4 linked regions of the Drosophila melanogaster genome follow. The protein of the gene in region 1 interacts with the protein of each later gene in a pairwise test. Each region holds a gene or a part of one and is shown on either strand. Other genes may lie near its edges. The genes, in order: CG14818, CG10681, Vha36-1 and CG15468.

Region 1 (5,168 bases):
CTAAAGCGAATGATTAGTCCGTGGGATGAGAATGACTGTATCGAGCTCTTCGATCCGGACTACTCCGGGGGACGCAAGACACCGGAGCTGGACTACACCCAAAGTCATCCGGGTACGGATGAGGAGATAATACTCAAACTTATAGCGTCCATGAGTTCGGGAAAGAACGAGGACGACGAAGGAATTGAGGCGGAAACCAAAGCTACAGATGTCGAGGATTCCGAGGTCGAAGAAGAAGAACCTGAATCCGAGCCAATGGAAACCGCCTCCAAGGAAGCTGAGTCCGAAAAATCGTATGCAGAATATCAGCCAGACTCAGCACAGACAAGCGACGAAAGAGTGCAAGAGCTGCAGGCCGAGAATGCGCGCCTCAAAGCGCAGTCAATGCGCTTGTTCCAGATAGCTTTCAAGTATATTACTAGCGATACCAATGGCCAGGCTGAAATCACAGAGAAGACAAAGCGCAAGAAAGCGCGGAAGACATAGTGAACCTTAAGCTTGCTTTCAATTACGTTTACTTAGGACTTAGGACAAAAATACATGATAATAGAAAAAAAACAGCACTGATTGTGCCTAAAAACGATTTGGATGAACAAAACAATAACTTCTCGTAGAGGGATCTACTTGGGTGCCGCTTCGCTGCCCGCCTGCCCGTCCATGTTGTCATCTCCCGATTCGGGAGCGTTGTCATTTTCCTCGGCAATCAGGCGACGGATCTCTCGGTTGGAGTTCAGCAGCTCCCGTAGTTGGGACATAATGTCGTCTGTGCGCTGCTCCACGGCGTCCAGGGCACAGCTGAGAGCGTCCAGACTGTTGTTCACGTCCTCCATCTCTGTAGGGGTCATTCCATTAGAGCCAATCCCGAGCAGAAACGGGGCGCTGTCAAAACTCACCTTGGAGGTCCGCCTCCTGGACATTGGTGTTGCCAGAGTCGCCGGACGACGAGGGATCATGATTGTTTTTGGGTGACATTTTCCCTGGAATTTTCCCCGGAGTTTTTCCGTTTGTTTTTTCCAGTTGGATTTATTGTCACGGGATAGCTATAAACGATAGAGGTGGTTAGAAGAGAACGATAGGTCTCAGTTCAAATACGATATAAAAAAAAAAACTTAATAGGGGAATTCAGTACATACGTACGTTTTTGTAATTACGAAAACACTTTTTAGCTCAAAACACTAGGCGAACATAATCCACTGCAAAAGTCCAAAGCTAAGTTTCCACTTAGTTTTTAGGGATGTGCCCGTGCCTCGTTTTATTTTTACGTACCAATGGAATAGCATGGGAAATTTTGGCTTATTCGCATATGTCGTGCCTAATTCGTGACACGAACAATGAAACAAATGGTTTACGTATCTCTAGGCGTTGACTGGACTTAATCGAACGGTTCTTTCCCATAGTGCTTAATGTTGATTGGCCAGAGTTGACCCCTTCTGACAATGAACGGCTGTTTAATTTCTCAGAGCGATCAGCGGTCGTACTCCAACGTTTTCTGTTCGCCTGGTGTCTACAGTCGATAATCTTGCCCATTTTGACCGAAATAATTTTGAAGCATCGAATTGCGACAGTAGATTTCTTGTTGCAATCATGAGGCGAGCATAATAAACAGAAAGTGTACTAGCCTCTGTTTCTACGTTGTTTTTAGAGATGTGCATGTATATCGTTTTATTTTCACAACGCAAGCAAATTACTAGGGATTTTGGTATTTGCTCGAGCATGACGTGCCGATTGCGTGTCACGAACAGGGAAACAAGAGGGGTTCACATCTCTTCTGATACTCTTGCTTAAGCTTTGGTCTAACTGTTCACAAGGCTGCATTCCTATTGGTTCAATTGCGACTGGAAACATGCAATATGCGACCATTTTGGAAAAAGAAACTGTTTCTTGATTTTGTCGACATGTATCAGCTGGCTGGCTACTGGCTACTGGTTTCTGAACTCCAGATATTCAGTCGAGAATCGCATGCGAATGCCCGTAATATTTGCTGGCATCAATATTTAATCTGTTGCCTAGCGTGACAGTCGGCCACACTGCACCTCACATAACATAACCGAAAAATGAACAAATGTTTTAGGTGCCAGCCCCGGATATCGCTTTTCCAGTTCAGCGTGAGTCCATGAGTGTGTTGCCTTATAGGATTCGGATTTTCAATTTCTTGTTTACACAGCTACCGCGGTGCTATGCCGCAGTGCAGCCGGGATGTCCACCGCCACAAGAAAAACCCGTCGTCGGTTTGCCACACAAGCCCGATCCCAAGACGGTGAAGTGCGACTATATAGGACCGCCAGACGCGCAATCAAACCTACGTCCGTACGTACGGCACTACGGCGATGAGGAGACGCGGCTGGCAAGAAGCCTGCGTCTTAAGCGGATCGAGGTGGAGGCATGGAACACGGACTTCTGGACAAAACACAATAAGCGCTTCTACGAGGTACAACCACGACCACTGTGCCATCTCTTTCTAGTCCGCTAATGTCGTCTCTTTCGAATTGGTTCGTTTACAGGAAAAGGAAGACTTCATCCGCCTGCACAAGGAAAGCGGAACCAGCGAAGTGTCCGCGGACCAGATGAGCCACTTCTACAAAGCGTTCCTCGACAAGAACTGGCGCATCCACATCATGTACAACATCTCCTGGTACCTGAAGAACTTCGACATACTCACCCTGGCTGCCGCAGTCCAGCTCCAGAGGCTTCTGGCGCTGGCCAAGCGAAGATCTTAGGTGCAATATCTGTCGTCCCCATTTCGTAATTTCCAGTTTGCCGTTTGCAATAAGTTGGAATAAAAGATCACGTGCGTAAAATGGTGGCATAAAATTTACTTAGCTACTATTTAAGGGGATGAAAAATACACGTTGTTCGGAGTTAGTTAATGTACTTAAAAGTAATCGCAAACTATTTAAATAAAATAAAATAGAAGTAGGTGTTCATATCCTTATCAGTGTATATATTCAAAGAAGGTTGCGCACGATACACGCAGCGAAAGAAGGATCGCTCCCCATGTAAAGTGGCCGAATATTGAAAGATAACCGCTACAATTATGATAATAATAATAATGGTAAACAGAGGGGAAGGCACACACGCATAAAGTCAAGTTTTGGGTTGGCCATCGGGGCGGTCAGTTTCCTCGCGATAATTGCAATGGTGGTAGTGATGAATGTGGAGATGGTGCTAAAACAAATAAAATTAGGTGCTCCAGCGACTGTGTGAGGAGAGGGGGTCCGAAATACATTACAGGGGTGGTCGTGTCCTAGCAGTAACATTTATATTCTTTCTATGTAGAAACGATAGCAATTATTCAATTTAAACTATGAAGACACTCTCCACTTTTGCACTTAAGAGCGATATAAAGGATACGAATTGGCTACAGTGGGCACATATACAAAACTTACAAGGTCATATGCTCTCCACGAGCATATCTGCATATAGCATATAAACTATATATATATAAATATATATATATATATATATATATATATATAAATGTACACGAACTATAATGCTTAGCGAATCTAGCTACTTGATCAGATACAAGTCCTGTTCCTGTTCCTGTCTCTACTCCTGTTCCTGTTCACTGGGAGCGACGTGCTCGCCGCCGCTTCTTGCGCTTCCTTTGGTCCTCCGCTAGAGGCTCCTCCCGACTCTAGTTCATCCACTTGCGACAGTTGGGCGCTCCACAGGCGCACGGTATCTTGTGCGACTCGTCCTCAATGTCGAACTTGTAGTCGTACGAGAGCTAAAGCACAGAATTTAAGAGATATTGTGAGTTAAGGTACAGGCGAAACACTTCTATTTGCGGGACCCACCTCCTCGCCGCGATAGATCTTCCGCTTGGCGAATATTATGATCCGCACGTCGCGATCGACCTCCACTATCTCGGTAACACAGTTGGGATTGCACGAATGGTTGATGTAGCGCGCCAACCCGCCGCTTAGAGTGGCGTCCACCACGCGGTCTTCATCCAGCCGGAACATGTAGATGCCACGGTTCTGGGGAATCAGAGATTAGTCAAAGTTACAAGAAAACATGGTCGCGAAACCCACCTTGGACTCGTACTGCTTCTCGCGTATCTCGGAGACCTCGGTGCGGATAACCTCGCCAATGTACTCGATTATCATGGTGTGCTTTTCAATGTCCCGAGCTGCATACAAGCCAAGACCCTGGATCTTAGATCTAGAAAATGAGAGCTTAAGTAATCAGTGGTTATTGACTAGGACCTAATGTCTCACCTCGCCAAGTAGACGTTGTTGCGCCACTCCTGCTTCATCTTTTTGTACTGGGAGCTCTTCGAATGCACGAACTGCTTGCTGTACGGGCAGGCCACTTCTCCGGCAATCGCAGCCGAGTTGGCCATCCGCTGCGTGCTGCAGCTGCCGGCCGTGCGTTGCGTATGCGGCTTCCTCCAGACGAGCAGCTGTCGTTGCTTGGGTTCCGTACGCGCCGCTCCAGACGGATTGATGGCTAGCGGGAACTCAAGAAGCGGGTTGCGACCGTACTTGAAGCGGTAGTCAGTGAGCGTCTCAATGCCCGGGAGGCTTTCCAGGATTCGCACAATGGCCGGTTCCGTTAGGCCAAATAGGTCCTCACCACTGATGTGCTGGGGAAAGAGCTGCAACCACTTGTGCACCTTACGCAGTCGCGTGATTGGCTGCAGAATCTGCTGCCAGACCGCCGAGGGCGAACTGCCCCGAAACTCGCGCTCCGGCTCCTTGTCGCCGGCGTCCTGCACCTGGATGCGAAACTCGGGCTTGCATCCGGCCTCTGCGATACTGCAAATGTATCGACACCTACGATTGGGTCGTCGCACGCACCAGTAGTAGCGACTCTATGGGGGAGGAAGAGGAACGGGATTTAAGATTGCTGTTCATAAACATGGCGGCCGACCGGCTGGTACTTGTACTTACCACCTTGTAGCCAATGGGGTAGATGTAGTGGGGTGTGTGGAAGGCCTCCAGCTGATGCGGCAGTAACTGACCCACGTTCAGGAACGTCATGTTGCCCACACGGAGCAGGTTGCTTAGCTCTGAATAGTGCATGACGGTGGCCACCTGACGGTTTTCATCCCGATCGACAAAAACTCTCCGGTGGACAACCAGGGAGCTCAGTTCATTATCTGCCACAGAGCCTCCTAATCCGGCGCCAGTCGTGGCGCCTGCTCCTGCACCCATCGTGAT
Region 2 (5,491 bases), on another chromosome or scaffold:
TAAAAGGCATAACGTTAAGTGTAACCAAATTATATCAATGGATTTTGAATACCAATATTATTTATTTTATATTTTGAGCTTAATATATTAAATCACATATATTTAAGCCTCTTTATATATGTAAATATTTTAATTTTATTAAAATAAATTATATATTGTTTTGTAATATGATCGAGGGCTGCCACCTTGTGATAAATGCTTACCAACACTTTTAGGTACGCCGTTTAGTGTACGTAAGTTGCGTACCTAGATATCCAGCGAAATCAAAACATTGAGTAAATCGTGGAAAATGGATGAAAATAGCTTAATCTACGGACTCGAACTGCAGGCGCGGGCTTTAACACCTCAGTACGGAGAGAGCAACGATGTGTGCTTCTTCATAGCCACCAACTCCTTGAAGCCCACCAATCAGGTTCACTTAATCCAGTACGAGGAGGAGCAGGGATCCGTGCAATCAAAGGTGAATATCTGGGATGATCAAAGTATGAGCTAAACATACAACTTTGAACAGGTCTTTGAGCACGCCCTGGGTGAAGTTTGGAAACTAAATAGTTGTCCGCGTAATCCTCGCCTGCTGGCCTCCGTCTACAATGTACAAAAGGGAGCACAAGTGCTGACCAAAGCGGCTCTGTTTACGCTGCCCGAGAATCTCAATCCCGATCCGGAGCAGCTGAAGTCAGAGTACCTGCCGTGGGAGCAGGTTGAGGTCCTGGATACCGAAGCACTGGGCGAACGTGTGAAGACCATCGAATTCCATCCCAACCAGGACACACTCGCCTGTGTGGTGGACAACAAGGTGGCTGTGATGCAGCGGGCCGAGTCCTCTACTCGCGTGGTGGCCGAGGTGCCGGCCAGTGGTTCATCCAGTGGATCTGCAAAGCACACACAGCATTTCACCAGCGGCAAGTGGTCGCATCATCATCAGGGCCACCAGTTTCTCACCCTCCAGGATGGCAATCTAAGTGCCTACGATGTGCGGGATACACAGCATTGTGCCTGGAGCATCAACGATGCGCATGGTCAAATGGTCCGTGACCTGGACTGCAATCCCAACAAGCAGTGCCATTTGGTCACCGGCGGTGACGATGGCTACTTGAGGATCTGGGACTGTCGCATGCCCAAGGCTCCCGTTTTCGAGCGCTCCGATCATTCGCATTGGGTCTGGTGCGTTCGCTTCAACACATTCCACGACCAACTGATCCTCTCCAGCTCCAGTGACTGCAAGGTGCTGCTCACGTGTGCGGGATCGGTTAGTTCGGAGACGCAGGTTCAGGCTGGACTAGATGAGTCCAACTTCAGTGGTGCCGATGCCGAGGAGAGGCACAAACTCTTGCCAGATGGTCTGCTGCAGACCTTCGATCAGCACGAGGACTCCGTTTACTGCGCGGAGTGGAGCAATGTGGATCCGTGGATCTTTGCTTCGCTCAGCTACGATGGTCGCGTCATAATCTCAAAGGTGCCCAAGCAGTACAAGTACCAGATTATATTTTAAGCCATTAGTTTCTTAAATTATTACGCATATTTCATTTAAATCTAACTAAACGAATTGTGTCCTTGTATGTAGTAGCAGGTTATACAAATATTAAACCAATAAGTTATTATATGAAGATAAATATATCGAGGGACTAAAGCTAATTAGGCTTAACCTGTATCCTCGGATGTGCAGTCGGAGGAATCATTGGGATTGGCAGTTTCCACGGAACAAACTCGCTTGATCAGCTCGTTTTCGATCTCCACAGTGCCATTGTCCACTGCCTCCTCCATCTGCACGTACTCTATGGTGGCGGCACTTTTCTTGGTGGATAGGACAGGTTTTGCGGCAGCAGGAGCAGGTGTTTCTGCAGTCTTTTTAGCCTGGGCTTCCGTATCATCCTCGGCTTCCTCAGCCAAACTGCTACGCTGCGGCTGAACTTCGGCGTAAATGGCGGGAAACTGCGACTGTAGCTTCTGCTTGATGATCCGTATCTTGCGGAATATGTAATCCAGATCCTTCTTCATTTCGCTCAGGCATTTCACGTGTCTTTTGAAATCCTCGCTGGCACTTTTCAAACGACTCTGCGATAAGGCATTGCAGTTGAGCAGCATCTCGTTGGTTTTCTCAAAGCGTTGCAGCCTGTGGGATATATTTTGGATGTTTATTATAATCTCTGGTTAAATGAAATGGCTTACATTTGCTTTTGAGCCCGTATCATGGTCTCCACATCGCCCTGATTCACCATTCCTGCGAGACTTTGAATGAAGGCCTCGGCGGCGGAGTTGCCGAAGCCAGTGAAGGATTCCAGGTCAGGAGTGGCATCCTCGGACTGGTGCACATCCGCAAGGCCCAAGTGGCTCATTGTAGCCTAGAATTTATTTGTTTATAATAAGGGAGAACACAAAAATTGATTTGTTTACTTGCTTTTCAAGGTCTCAAGGTTTCTTTGCGACAACTTGAACTCTGCTTTGTGTGCGTTTGCTGGCAGTTTTAGTTTTTTCTATTTTTATTTACGTTTTCAAATGGATCTCATGTTTCCATCTATTTTAAAAGTTCTTTTGTTTAGATTTCTTAAAAAAAAAGATATTTTCGTAACAGCTGTTTAAGTACTAGTTATAAACCAGTGCTGCAAGCTGCCAAAATGCAAAAGCACTGCCGTAATTAAATTTGAACATTTTACTTTTTAACATAAAATTAACACTGTTTTATGACAACATTTGTTCCTATTTAATATAAATCAAAGTTTCTTTAGCTATTTAAACACTTAAAAATATTTAAATAATAAAGCTTAGCAGAATGGCATTGGGTATTTTTACGCAAAGCCGTTTTGGTCACACTATGCTCACCGGCTTTTTTTTTATTAAGCGATTGAATTTCCTTATTTATTCTTGATTTAAACGTGCAAAATGAAGCTCGCTCCGACTGTTAAGCTAAACAATGGCTACGAGATGCCAATTCTGGGCCTAGGAACCTACAATGTAAGTCCTTATCATCGGCGATGCTAATAAATCAGCAGGCAGAAATTGTTTATGGAAATTTCTACCATTCAATTCCAATTAAGTGCAATTGTGAAATTGAAAGTTAATTATGTTATCTGTAGTTAAAGAAGTCTCGCTGTGAGGCTGCCGTGTGCCACGCCCTCGAAATGGGCTATCGGCATATAGACACCGCATATCTGTACAGGAATGAAGGCATTATAGGCAAGGTTTTAGCTAAACTTATTGGCGACCAGAAACTGAAACGCGAACAGGTGTTTCTGGTCACAAAGGTAGGATATAGTACAGATGGGTTATATATAGTTACCAGCACATGTAAATAGATCGAAAATCAATATCCAATTAGCTGTGGGACATATACCACGAACCCAAGATGGTGAAATACGCCTGTGATATGCAATTAAAGCTACTGGGCGTGGACTATATAGATCTATATCTGATGCATTCGCCGGTGGGCGTGGACTACATCTCTGATGAAGATCTGATGCCCCACGAGAATGGCCAGCTGAGGACCAAGTGAGTTTGGGATACAACTAAACATACATAGTTTAGATTCAAGAAGCTTAAAGAAACTGATCTTTGGAACTTATAGCGATGTGGACTATGTGGACACCTACAGAAGTATGGAGCAACTGGTGCATCTGGGGCTGGTGCGCAGCTTGGGATTGTCCAACTTTAATGCCAATCAGCTGAAGAGATTACTGGAAAACTGCCAAATCAAGCCGGCAAACCTACAAATAGAATGTCATCCGGAATTGGTGCAAGTCCCATTAATTGAGCTCTGTAAATTTCACAATATCACCGTGGTTGCCTATTCGCCACTGGGGCGTCCCAAAGCCTGCAATCCGCTGCCCGATTACTACACTGATTCCAAGCTACTGGCGTTGGCAGCGAAATACGGCAAGACACCAGCTCAAATCATCCTAAGATACTTGGTATAAACGACCTTAGAATTGTAAAGTGATAAAGATATTTATTGGCTAAAAATCTACAGATCGATATTGGCACGGTACCTATTCCAAAAGCTGCCCAGCGAGCCCATCTCGTAGAGAATCTGGATATATTTGATTTCCACCTAACGCCGGAGGAGTTGCTCCAAATGAAGACCTTTAATACAGGGCGCAGAATCTGGAAATTCGATAAAGCGAAGAATCATCAGTACTATCCGTACTAGCAAGAGATATTTAGTGTTCGGAAAAAAAGTGTAACTATGTAAATGTATAAGATAGAATCTCGTTAGATAGTTTAGTTTTTACGTTAGTTTTTTTTTAGTACAATATTACAATGTTATAAAATGTCATCATATCAATCGTTATCATATATAAATATACTATATTTTGTGCTAGATATGATCCTATTAACATTTTAAGTGCTCACCTGGGGAAATAATTATTTGTATCTCTCTAAATGTCTCTATCAAAGTTTATCGAATCTTTCGTGTGCCTTGCGACGTTGATCAGTTGTATAATTTCGGATATTGTTTCGATTTGTCAATTCGCGGCTCTCCGATATGCTCACAATTTCCTGGCCGAAACGAACGTGTTGCTGTGGTCGAAAATAACAATATACTGATCTCAAGAGTCGCATTATAAAACACATATTTGATTCTGTCAGAAAGGAGAAAGGTTAATGATGAATTTGATATTCTCTATTTGCAGTCGAAGGACAACGAAGGCGAAGCCGCTGTGAAACATGCGATTGATGTGGGCTATCGTCATATAGATACGGCCTATTTCTACCAAAACGAGGCCGAAGTGGGCAAGGCGATTCGGGACAAGATCGCAGAAGGTGTGGTCAAGCGAGAGGATATATTTTTGGTCACTAAGGTAAATGCCATGATGATATGTTCTAGATCTATCAATAAGATTATATTTTTGCGCAGCTTTGGAACATTTTCCACGATCCAGAGCGCGTTGAGGGCATTTGCCGCAAGCAGTTAAGCAATTTTGGCTTGGACTATATCGATCTGTATCTGATGCATATGCCAGTGGGCTACAAATATGTAGATGACAACACCCTGCTGCCCAAAAATGAGGACGATGTGCTCCAACTGAGCGATGTCGACTATCTGGATACGTACAAAGCCATGGAAAAGCTGGTAAAACTGGGCCTGGTGCGCAGCATCGGAGTATCCAACTTCAACAGCGAGCAGCTGGCACGAGTTTTGGCCAACTGCGAGATCAAACCCGTCACTAACCAGGTGGAGTGCTCGCCTGCGCTCAACCAGAAGGCTTTGACAGCCTTCTGCAAGAAGAACGACGTCACCTTGACGGGCTACACGCCTTTGGGAAAGCCCAAGCCGGATATTCAGAAGCCGGACTTTATCTATTCGCCGGAGGTGGCTGTTATTGCCAAAAAATATGGCAAGACTACACCGCAGATTGTGCTGCGTTACCTGGTAATTGAGGCATCAACCTGACCTCAGCGACAGCATCTAATTAAAATCTCTCTTTTCGCAGGTTGGTCTGGGTGTCATTCCCATTCCAAAGTCATCGAATACTAACCGAATTTCTGAGAACTT
Region 3 (5,741 bases), on another chromosome or scaffold:
CTATGATCTCCTTCGTTTGGGTTGATTTTACCACGGCTCCAGGAGAGATCAGTGGATGCTTTTCGCCACACAGATTGTTCCAGATGCTGGCTAACTTGCGATTGATGGCCAAGAAGCTCAAAGTGTTGTTTACCCGCACACCTATGGCATCTCTGGGCGCCTGAATGCCATAGCAACGCACAATATCGCCATGATAGGGGGATTGGGATAGAGATTGGTTAAACAGTGAAGTCTGCGTGATCTTCTGGTCCAGAATGGTGTGGCCTACATACTGAAAGTTAAAGACATAATAGGATTTTATATGATATTCAATACGGGTATACGGGTACTAAAGGTAACCTGTTAATACCAAGTAGTAACTCACATGCAAAACATGATCCTCATTCTTGGTGACCACGCCCACTTCGGATGTGGTGTCCTGCACCGTTTTAGGAGGTCGTTTTGAGTGCTGCTTCTTTATCAAATGCGGCAGAAATTCGCCCTTAAAGGTTGATATATTTTCCTTCTGCAAAGATTGAATATTAGAAAACAATTTACTATAAGGTCATATCAAAACTAACCCTTCGTAGATAATCGATAACCCATTTTTTCAGCACATAAACATGAGCATCCACCAGTCGGCTGTATACATCCAACCTTCCGCGGTTCTTGAGCAGATGTCGCTGGATGTTGAGTGTTTCCTCGCAGTCACTGGCGGCGGATACGAAAGCCAATCTCTGAGTGGCCGCATGGATGCCAATCAAATCCCTTTCCGGTTTGTGCTTGCTTTTGGGACCGGGCATAACAACGTCCGACTCAAATCCGCTGGGAAATAGGAGCATTGCAAGGGCGGCATCATGTTCCCGAAACTTGTTGATCAGCGGATATAGGCTGACATTGCTGACCAGGTCGCAGCTGACCACCAGAAAGTCCGACTTGATCTTATCGTATATGTAGCGCAGACTGTCGGCAGTTCCGAAATCCCCGTCACTAGGAATCGTGGCATAGTCCAGTCTCAGCTTTAAGGGAGTGTTTTCCAGAGCAGATTGGATCTCTAGTTTTTCTTGCTCCAGTACCACAACAATGACCTCTGAAATATTTTTCAATTAAATCCAGGTTTTTAATTCAGACTATCCGAATTACCTGTAAAGTTGTGTTGTTGCAGCAGATTTAAGGGATACCAAATCAGAGGATATGGACCCACCGGCAGCAGGCATTTGGGGGCATCCCCCAAGACCTCGGGTAGACGAGTGCCACGCCCAGCGGCAAAAACTACGGCCTGGAACTCGGTCATTGTTTCACAAAAATATAAATAATTTCGGCTAAAAAGCGTGCAAGCACAAAAAGAGCCACGCAAACAGCTGATCCAATGCAAGCGAAACACCTACGAGCGCTGTCCAACACTGCTTCCAATCAGACATATGTTTGCTGTCATGTGACTGTGCAATTGTTTTTGTTGCTTTTGCTATTGTATAAAACAAGTCAGATGACCCTTTTTGCAATGAAAATTCCCTTTTTCCACTTAATTATTACACAGAATGCACATCGTATGATACAACAAGACTTTAATGCATGATTTGCGCAGCTTACACTACACTACAAAAATGGAATACATACTTTTCTGCTTATTGGAATAGTCTACACACTTTTGCTACATAGGTACAATTAAGTTTGTGGCTTGCCCTTTGCGAATTACAATATGGAAACGGATACAGAACAGAAAATAGTTTAACAATAATATTGCTGGAATAAACACATCCAAGGTAATACTTAGAACAGCACGTCGTCATCGCCCTCATCCAGGATATTGGCCTGCTGGCGCACATCGATGCCCTGCTGCAGCAACTCCGCCTTCTTGGCGTCGGCCTTGATGCGTGCCTCGCGCTTCTTGTCCTGGATCTTCTTCAGTCGGTAGAACTCCTCACGCTCGAGCTCGTCCAGCTCCGAGATGATGTAGGCCAAAGTCCTATCGATTCGGGGGATGATCACATGCTCAATGGCGTTCACACGACGGTTGGTGATCTTGATCACCTCGTCCAGGGTGACGAATGAGGTCTGCAGCGAGGCCAGCTCCACGAGCAGTTTAACGGCGCTTTGGTAGTTCTTCTTCAGCTTGGCCAGCTGCTGACCACCACGGGCTAGACCGGCCAGTTCGTAGGTGTCGGATCCGTCCTGGTAGGACTCGAAAACGGGCAGAGTGACACCAGCCACGTTGTCCTTCTTGGTGCGGATCTTGATCTGGGCCTTGGTCACGTTTTGCAGCACCACTTGGTTGATGTCGCCAGACGTGAATTTGGCCTCCGCCAGCGAGAAGGCTGCCTCTTTCATAACATCACCCATCAGGGTCTTGGTCTCGATGATCTTGCCCAGAATCAAACGGAATCGCATCTGCAGGGCATCCGCCTTCTTCTTGAGCAGACCGTGACCTTTCTGGGCTCCAGCCAGACGGGCCTTCATCAACATCTGGGCACCACGGGACGGGAAAATCGGTAGCCTATCTTTTCCGGACATTTTGCTGTTTTTTTCGGATGGTAATTGGCTGGACTAAACAATTTTCAACTGCGTATCAAGAAAACTGCAACCGTCGCAGAACACTGAAAAACTCCAACTGGAAAATGACGGATGACAGTGTTGGCTACTGCCCGTAGCCAATCGATAACCAGTTGGTGCTGGGTAGTGCGCTTAGATACAGTACTGCAAAATACGCAGCCACAGCTGATTTTGCATTTAAAAGTAAACAAATCTAATAAATTCCATTTCTTTATTGGATTTATAATGCTTCTGCAACGCGTGTGGTTGACACATTTAAACAACCATCTACGCCAATACGCGAACAAGTCGCGAGCCCACATCAAACCAGCCATGGCCGTGAGCATGCGGATGGTCCATCAGGAGATCCTGCATTATGTAAACCCCTTTGCCAGGATCAACGTGAAGTCCGATGTTTTCCTGCGCATCCAGCCCGCGGATGTGCATCAGTATACCAGCGGGGATGTGTTTATCGCCCAACTGGTTGGCGGCCATGTCAAGAACTCGAATGTCTCTCTCGATGTGAAGGTAACCGATGAGGACAAGGTGGTCAATGTGGTGGTTAAACAACTGGCGGAGCAGCCCTCAAAGCTTGAATGCCATCTGCAAATACCTGTGCGTTCCGATGTCTCTGTGGACGCAAAAGGTAGTGTGCGAGTGGAAGGCATACAGAGTGAACTGCTGCAAGTCAAAGCAAAGGAAGGCATCCTTACCAAAAATATCAAGGCCACCCATATAAACTTGTACAGTGAAAATGGCAACATCAATTGCCAGGGCACATTGCTGGGCAAGATTACCCAAATAGAGTCACAAAATGGGGTGAGAAAAAATTTACTATCAATCTGATCTTATTATTAACCTTTATATTTCTTTTTTAGAACATTGCGATGGATAAGTTGCAAGGAGACAGCTTGAATTGTTCCACCAAAGCTGGCAGTATTGTAACCGATTGTTGTTATGTGGAAAAGTCAAAGTTTCAGACACAAACTGGGCGTCTGGAGCTCAAGAATGTCCACAAAAGCAGCGAAGTGCACGTCCATCAGTCGTCGGATCTCAATATGAGTATGCGAAACAACGAAGAATAACACCATCATGCTAAAAACTTTCAATTTCAGCTGGAGTACATGGCAATATTCAAATAACTACCAAAGGAGGAAATTTAAATGTCCAACTCTCTGAGCTAGTGGGGAGCAACAAAATCGACGCCGAGAACTTATTAGAAGAGGCTATCATACACATTTCCCAAGCCATAGAGCAGAATCTTCACATCGAGGTAACAGCCCCCGAAGTGAAATTGGAAAACGAACTGGAGCATGTAGCCCATGCTCTCAACGAGAGCAAGAACAAATTCGTGCTAAGCAATCCAAATACAAATCGACTGGAAGTAAGCAGCACAGGCGACAAGGGCGTGCGCCTGGGAAAACAGTCATGGAGCGATATGATGCGTAATAAGTTGAAGGCTACCGGCACCTTGGACGATTTACCTTAGGTAAAGACAGAGACTAACTAAGTTAAGAATATATTGTGCTGCAAGCTACAATCTCAGTCATTTTTGCTTTATCCATCATGGAGGCATGTTGTTTAGGCTTGGCCCGACTCCTTAGCCACTTTATCCTTTAAGCATTCAAGTGCCCTTGAGAAAATGGCTTCTTCCTTTCCGGCTTTGAGTGCAGACACAAACAGTTGCACCTTTTCATCGCCAATCTCTTGGAGATCCGAGTTTTCCGCTTTTATCACCATACATGCCAACAGGCGCAGCAACTTCAAGGCGTTCTCCACATACTGCTCCTTTGGAGCGTCATCCTCCTCCTCTTCGTCCTCTTCGAACTCATTGGCGTCGGGATCACTTCCCCCCGTGTAGTTGTCAATGTGCTGTTTAAGTCTATACCACAATTCCAAAAGATTTAAGAAGGCCTCCTTGTGATAGAAGTACTTCAGGCGCTGCAAAAATAAATATTTAAATAGAACGTCGAATATTAAGTATCTTTTCCAAACTTACACTCCAAATGTGCGCCAGATCCTCGAGATACTCCTCCTGGCGTTCGCCTAATGGAATGAGTTGCAGAGGCTGCTGCAAAAACTGCAGTATTCGCGCTAGACAACTGACTATACTGGGTGCATACACATCCATGGAGGCCTGCGCCTCTGGCAGTTGGACCAGAATGGTGCATATATTGAGGTAGGTTTGTATGATCTCCACATCACAGGTTATTTTTGGTCCGCACGAGTCGTAACCGACGTCGGCATCTTCATCACTGTCGTGGGCCGCTGGCACTTCTGCATCTTCGTTGTCCTCGCCAGCTTCCTCGTCGGTCAATTTTGTCTGATCATCGCGCATGAGTCGCAAAAACGCGCTATTGACCCCCTCGCAGAGTTCTGGCACTAGAAAGACCTCCGCAAAAGGCTTTAGATTCAACGTGGAGTTTGCGTTTTCCTCCTCCACCAAGGCGCAACTGGCCAGCACAGCATTTGTGGCCTTCAGTGCAGCTACTAGCAGTTCATCGCTAACGGACAGTTGCAATATCCTGCCCAGGTTCTGCGCGGAGTTCTCAAAGGCAGCAAAGCAGATGTACCAGTTCACAGCGAACTTCTCCTTGCCGCTAAGCACATGGGCCATGATGTACTGAAAGAGTCGCATCAGCTGTATCAACATGGCGGTGTCCATGCAGTATGTCATCTTGAACAGGGTTTCCAACGTGTAGCGGTCACAGGCCAATATCTCTGCGCACTCCACCTGGGCGCACATATTGCCCAGCAGTCCGATAAGAATCTCGTAGAGCCGCACATCTTCACAGCCCGCCACCAGGGTGTACATGATCGGATCAATGGCTCCGTTCTCCAGCAGCAGTGTGACCACTTCGGGGGACACCGACATGTCCCACACTTTGCACAGGTCATCCTCCAGCTGCTGATCCAGTGTTGAATGCCGCAGTAATTCTCCCACCCTCATCACCGTTTTCAGGATGAATCGACTGCTGTACATGGTGTTGCCGACTGCATCGCCGCGCATACGCTCCAGCAGCTCCGCCTCCTCGGCGTCTTCCTGGGCGGGTGGGGGCGTGGTCGAGGCGCTACTGGCGCTGGCAGAGGCGGAGGCGTATGCGTCGCTTTCCTTGTGATTCGAGTTTTCCGCGGATGGCACATCGTTTTGCTTGGCGGCCACCGCAAGACCACTCGCCGATGGCTCCGCTTCTTCCTTGGGCATTTCGATCTGGATCCGGGTCTGGGCAAAC
Region 4 (6,029 bases), 3.1 Mb from region 1:
CCCATGCCCCTTGCCATCCACACCCCCCCCCCCTCTTCCCCCTTTACCCCACACCCGGCGACTGGCCACCCGCCCATGTGGACGTCTAGGTAACAGTAATTTGGTGTCTTTCTTGTTCTTGCGCGCCGGCAATCACACCTATGGGAATGTCTCTAACACATGTCCAAACGTCTATACCATGATCATTACCAGCTGGCAATGATCATGATCAGCAGAACGCAGTGGGATTCCAGCATGCACTTTGGACAACATATTAGAGATCCCATACCAACCCATACCATACCATACCATACCATCCCATCGCAACCTCAAGTTCTCTGGCCCGTCGCATCATTAAAAATTTATCAGTTGATTGGAAAATTATAATTCTTTGCCTTTACGCTTTAGCAGCGCTATGATTTTTACAAGTCCACCTCTTTTGCCATCTCATCTTCCATCGTTCCTTATTTTTTTTTCCCATTCGCAATTGTGCCCGCTGTTATGTAATAACTCCCCGTAACTGCCCTCTTATCATCCGCCTGTGTCTGGTGTTGTTTCTATTTCTTATGGTCACATTTAATAACTGACTGACGAACTAACTAACTGACTAACTGACTGACTGACTGACTGACTGACTAACTGAATGGCTGACTGACTGACTGACTCATGGCGCTGCTCTGATGGATGCACTGCACCAATCCGATCCGAGCCGATCCGATGCCATCCTATCCAATCTGATCCTAGACCCCACTGGTTCCCCACTCCCCCAACGCACAGCACATCGGAAAATCGCTTTCTTTGCTTTGCTTTTGATCGGTGTTGCTGCTTTTTATTTGCAAGCCATAAAGAGTATATTCGACAAGATGGTAACTTTATCCGTTGAAATAAACCAAATATGTAAACTAATACTTCAGCGCAAAACAAACGCACTTGTGGATGGTTTGGCTTGGAAATCTGCGAATGAAAAACTCTTTCTACAGGATATCACCATGTCGATCCAGTCGGTGTTTGGCATTATTTTTTATGCGCTGGCTTCTCCACTTAGTTCCAGATGCGGAAATAAATGCACTTGAATTCCTCAACTTGTTACATAAATCGTAATTTTCTATAGACTTGTTCTATATCTAATGTATATTGCATTATTCGCTACTCGTTTTCTCCCAGTTGTTTCTCTTTCTGTTTTTTTTTTTTTGTTGCTTTTCATTATTATTATTATTACTATTATTTTTATTTTATGATCGCTTATCTTCTTCGGAGTCTTCTGCTGGTGCTGCTGATTTTCGCTACCGAAGCTGCGGAGCTGCGAAGATTTGACCGCGCCAGGTTGAGAGTCAAGTCAACTTGGGGCAACTCAAGTCGGAATATATGAATGTCTGAATGTCTGGATGTCTGGGGGGGGGTTTACTCCGTTCCCCTTGTTCGTATACCCATTCTCGCGCACTTGAACTTCCTGCATGACCAAGGCCTCCGGGAGATCAGCAGATCATGTGAACTTTTATGGCCATCATCGGTCATTACTCGTCTTGGTTGCAATTAGGCATCTTAGCGGTATAGTTCTCGACGCCGCCAGTCCTCTTAATTCATTCGTTTTTTTTGTTTTTTTTGTTTTGCACCCATGAAATGCAAATAAAATAAAGCACATTATTAGTATTAGTAAGTTGTGGGAATTATTTTGGACTCATCTCAGTCTCATTTCTTGCAGGAATTATTTTGGACTCATCTCAGTCGCATTTCTTGCAGGAATTATTTTGGACTCATCTCAGTCTCATTTCTTGCAGCTATGTGCAGCTAGTTCAGTGCATATTTCATGTTATTTAAATGCCTGCCCAGGCTCCATCAAATATTTGTTTAACCTGACCCCATTCTTGGGCCTTCGTATCCATCCTATCGCGCAGCTCACATGCCTAAACGTTTCTTAGAGACCTGCGAAATTCCACATGTGACAATTCAGCATTCAGCAGATGCCACGATGGTGAGATGGCTCCAAATGGAATAGCAAAGTTGACTAAAAGCCTGTCAATCGCTGATGTTGCGTGGAAAAAGAAAAAACACTGAACGCAATATTCGGATATTTCTCTGACATACAAAAATAACTCAGCAATTGTTCGTTTATATAATAATGCAAGATTATATAGAGCCTGGCCTATAAATTTTGAATCATATCTCTAATTTCTGAAGAAGATTTGCTACTTCAATTTTGTTCACTGCCTCGAATGGTTTTTGGGCTGATGTCCTATGCAGTAGAGGCCCGAATCTCTGGCAAGCAATTAGCAAGGCAGGGCCCAGAAGAAAGATCACCGCAAGACCACGGTCGGGGGCACCAATTGCAATTGAAGAAAAGGGGCAGCATGGAATAGGAGCCCAGAAGGAAAAGCGGCGAACAGGGGTGACTGAGTGGAAGACAGACGACAGAAGCGGGATTTATCAGAGACAGAAGACTGAGCTTTGTGAGATGGAGATGGAGAAAAGCAATTCTGCGGCTGACGGTTTTCGCAGAAAATTACAACTTGCGGGTAAACAAAGTCAACTGCCGGCAGTTGATGGTGGCTCAATGGTAATGGTGGCTAGCGTGGTAAGAAAGGAGGCGAGGGCTGACTAGAAGAATTGCCGCTGAAGCCACACGCCAAAAGCCAGCCCACAAGCCTCTGGCCCACAGCTCTCTGCTTTTCTTTTGTTTTTTCCTACTCATCGTTGTTTCTTTTTGTTTTTTTTTCTTTCGTTTTCTACTGCCGGACTCCATGTGGAGTGGAGTGGATGTTTCTGCGGATTTGGATGTGGGTGCGCAATTATGCCGCCAGAGCAACTGAGCAGCCATAAATTTTCTTATCAGCGCCGGGCCAAAAAGACAGGAGCGGTTTGGAGTGGTTTTTAAAATCACTAAGGAATCACTAAGAGTTTGAAAAACCCAATTTAAGTGGGCTATGCTTTTTTTACCTTAACGCTCACATATTGCACACACACCCAGACTTAAATCTACACTTTGTTAAAAAAAAAAATTAATAAAAACAAAATGGATAAGGTGAAGATGATACCTACCAATGATGGCGAACCAAGGGATTATCCGCTCGACGAGGATTTTCATCTGCTGCGCGATCTGGGCGACTGTCACAAGGCGAATCTGGCGGACATCGATATCATAGCGCGAACGACCACCAAATGTCAGTTGGGAGGAGAGCAGATGATTTCGCCAGGCTATCAGAGGTTAGGCCCTTCCTTGGATCGAGTACCAGATGATGAGGAAACCGACTCACAGGAGGAGGAGATGGAAATACTGCCATGCGGAATGGGCGAGGAGGGCATAACCACCGATGAGGAGACAAAAACCCTGATTACCATTCAGGGTCTGGACGAGATATTGAAAAGAATCGATATATTGCGTAGTCAACTCCGCAGGAATCAGCAATTGGAGGATATTAGCCAACCATCGGTAATGCCAGAGGATCCGATCTCCTGCAGTGGCCTGAATGCGAAGCAATCGGAGATACGGTGCATTCAACGTGCCCAGCATCACATTCAGTGCCAACTAACCGAACTCCTGTGCCGCTACGATGCCCTCCGGAATATGTTGCGCAGTTTGGGCGAAACGTGGACGTGTCTAGAGCGACGAATTGCCGATATTCGGGGACAGAACCGCGTCCACTTGGCCTGGACTGAGGAGTGCGCCAACGATCTAAGCAACTGCCAGCAGAGACATCGCTCCTTGGCCGCCGTCAAGCTTACCAAAAAGATGGCCCTGCTCGTGACCAAAACGAATATGTCCAGTGGCTTTCGCTATAGCCGTCGATATCTACGACATGCCCTGATCGCTCGACATATCAACGACTTTCGCTACGAGATCGCCGAGTTGAAGGTTTTAAGCGAGGAAATTTTCTCCGAAATCGATGGGCGACTGGACCAGATCAAGATGAAGGCTCAACGATTCGGAGTCGTATTCTCGACCACGCCGCGTCAATCCAATCTAATCGCCGATGGAACTGGCAACACTGAGCTAACCGAGCTAACTGATGCCACCGAAACGTTCACCGTTCCAAGGAGCAATAATCCAAAATAACAATTTCAAGGGCACATAGAGAAAGCACATTATCATTAGGAAATAAAATAGGAAAATCATTAAGTTATAATAAGAGCAAAGAAAAATAAATACAAAAATGTAAAATGCAAACCGAATACGCGGGCAAAAGTGCGCTCCTGTGCTGGGATAAAAAAAAAAAGAAAAAAATAGTGCTAGTGGGAGGCAGCAGGCTGGCGGAGTGGAAAATGGGAAAGCGAAAGAGACGAAGTATGAAGAATGAAGAAAAGAAAAACAAAATGAGCCACCAGCACATGGGTAGTACATCATTTCGGACTTTATCAGCAAAACAGGCAGCCGAGCAGCGCGCGCGTGGGCAGCTCCAGAGTGGAATTCCGATGCCGCCAACGCTTCCCCGGCAGCAACAAAGCAGCAGCAGCAGCAGCAGCAGTCGCAGCAGCAGCAACAACAGCAGCAACAACTGCAATTGCAACTTAATTGAGGCTTGTCTATGCAGTCGTAGCCAAAAGTAACTGCGGTTGCTACTCGCTCTATCTTTTCGCTGTTGTATACAGATACACGCGTGTGTGTGTGTGTGTGTGTTAGCCATCTCATGTCGCCCATTGCGAACTTGATGCCTCGCTGCCCCAGTGCCTTGATGCTCCACAGACGACCAGACAGCAGCAACAACGGCAACATATACACATACCATACAAACATAAATACCCACTATATAATAGCGTACTGAGGGCGTTGAGGCAGCAACATGCCATCCAGTGGCTGAGGGAAGTGGCCGGGATGAGGGGGCGTTGGGGCGATGGGCTGATGGTTTGCAGAATCAGCAAGCGAAGCCATCATCATGGCCACCACCAAAACCGACCGAAAATCAACTACCCTGCAGCTATTGAACAGTGGGCACTACTACAAGACAAACAGGATAAGAAATATATTCCATATACTGATGAAAGTGATATGCATACAACTATATAATAGTACTAGATTTACTAACATATATAGTGATGATGATTTTTACTCGAGCAAATGAAGTTTTGGGCCCACCGTGGCTGGAACAATTTAAGCTCATTCACTTGCCGCTGATTGCTGCTGGCAGTTGTTGCTGCTGTTGCTGCTGTTGGAGCTGTTGGTGCTGTCAGTGGTGGCTGCTTCTCCTGGCTTGTTGTCTAGCAAATTCACAAGTTCAAGACCAAGAGCGCGGCAAAGTTGCTGGGTCTGGCTGTTGCATGTTGCTGCTGTTGCGGCTGTGCCCGGCAATACATGCAACCAAATTGCATGCAATGCACAATGCACTTATCTAAGATGTGGCAAATGCAGTGGGTGATGTCTGAGCTGGCAAGGATTGGGGCATTCGAGAGCTGAATAAGGAAGGGTACGGAATTGGGAAATGAGGGGGCGGAATGAAGCGTGTGGCAATTGCCAGTGCAATTTGCATTTTGCATTTCGCACCGGGCGTTGTCAAATGGCCATCCTCGCAAAATGGGGAATGGCTTTTTAATGGCCACAATGTGGGTTAAGTCCAGCTCGGAAAGAGCTCTAATAGATCGAGCTCTTTAGCTAGCAACGAACCCGTAGAGCCGAGCCGAGCTGACAGCCACCAAGGGTAGACAATAATCCATTGAATTGAACGCTGGCAACGCAACGCGGAACCATTGCTCCAAAGGCCGCCAGGCGTTGAGGGTGGGCAGCAAAATCTCATTTGCCAGCCAGAAATTTATGGCCCGGCCAAAACTGCCAACTTGCATGTCAATAGAACATCACTCTTTGGCATGGGAACTAAAAGAGTTATGAAGACGGAATACGGACAATGGTCCCAAAGTTGGATTAGCTCCTACATAGTTGTAGTCAGCTCGATGAACTTCAAAGAGTGGCATGCTTAAGTGGCATGCTCACTCACTTGCAATTGTATATTTTGGGTATGCTGTATTTTGCAATCGAACATTTTTAAATTGCTAAATGTATTGCGTCGCATTTCCATTTAGGTTGTGCAGGCGAAGCTTCACTGTGTTTCCTAGTACCTACATGA

What was found.
Region 2: the proteins of CG14818 (region 1) and CG10681 interact in binary tests that used the Drosophila melanogaster proteins (3 or more experiments, as listed by UniProt).
Region 3: the proteins of CG14818 (region 1) and Vha36-1 interact in binary tests that used the Drosophila melanogaster proteins (3 or more experiments, as listed by UniProt).
Region 4: the proteins of CG14818 (region 1) and CG15468 interact in a two-hybrid assay, tested with the Drosophila melanogaster proteins (2 studies listed by BioGRID).

What each region holds. Positions count from the first base shown.
Region 1 is NC_004354.4:1,878,519-1,883,686, forward strand, and holds CG14818 (uncharacterized protein), read right to left. Parts: upstream 1,257-5,168; 5' UTR 1,138-1,256; intron 1,063-1,137; exon of another isoform or gene 1,041-1,062; 5' UTR 973-1,040; coding exon 894-972; intron 833-893; coding exon 621-832; 3' UTR 501-620; downstream 1-500. Other genes in the region: CG14805 (uncharacterized protein), read left to right, coding at 1-486; Coa8 (cytochrome c oxidase assembly factor 8), read left to right, coding at 2,055-2,105, 2,165-2,428, 2,502-2,717; trr (trithorax-related), read right to left, coding at 3,638-3,730, 3,801-3,983, 4,038-4,167, 4,224-4,819, 4,899-5,168.
Region 2 is NT_037436.4:12,498,626-12,504,116, reverse strand, and holds CG10681 (uncharacterized protein), read right to left. Parts: upstream 2,605-5,491; 5' UTR 2,399-2,604; exon of another isoform or gene 2,395-2,398; intron 2,343-2,394; 5' UTR 2,337-2,342; coding exon 2,170-2,336; intron 2,114-2,169; coding exon 1,642-2,113; 3' UTR 1,493-1,641; downstream 1-1,492. Other genes in the region: CG10646 (uncharacterized protein), read left to right, coding at 290-460, 512-1,492; CG10638 (uncharacterized protein), read left to right, coding at 2,881-2,952, 4,629-4,796, 4,853-5,368, 5,430-5,491.
Region 3 is NT_033778.4:15,538,286-15,544,026, reverse strand, and holds Vha36-1 (vacuolar H[+] ATPase 36kD subunit 1), read right to left. Parts: upstream 2,593-5,741; 5' UTR 2,491-2,592; coding exon 1,750-2,490; 3' UTR 1,529-1,749; downstream 1-1,528. Other genes in the region: eIF2Bgamma (eukaryotic translation initiation factor 2B subunit gamma), read right to left, coding at 1-271, 365-505, 561-1,069, 1,123-1,273; CG8187 (uncharacterized protein), read left to right, coding at 2,755-3,327, 3,387-3,570, 3,624-3,997; CG30467 (uncharacterized protein), read right to left, coding at 4,090-4,449, 4,508-5,713. UniProt on the Drosophila melanogaster protein: Subunit of the V1 complex of vacuolar(H+)-ATPase (V-ATPase), a multisubunit enzyme composed of a peripheral complex (V1) that hydrolyzes ATP and a membrane integral complex (V0) that translocates protons.
Region 4 is NC_004354.4:4,958,038-4,964,066, reverse strand, and holds CG15468 (uncharacterized protein), read left to right. Parts: upstream 1-2,938; 5' UTR 2,939-2,989; coding exon 2,990-4,030; 3' UTR 4,031-4,138; downstream 4,139-6,029.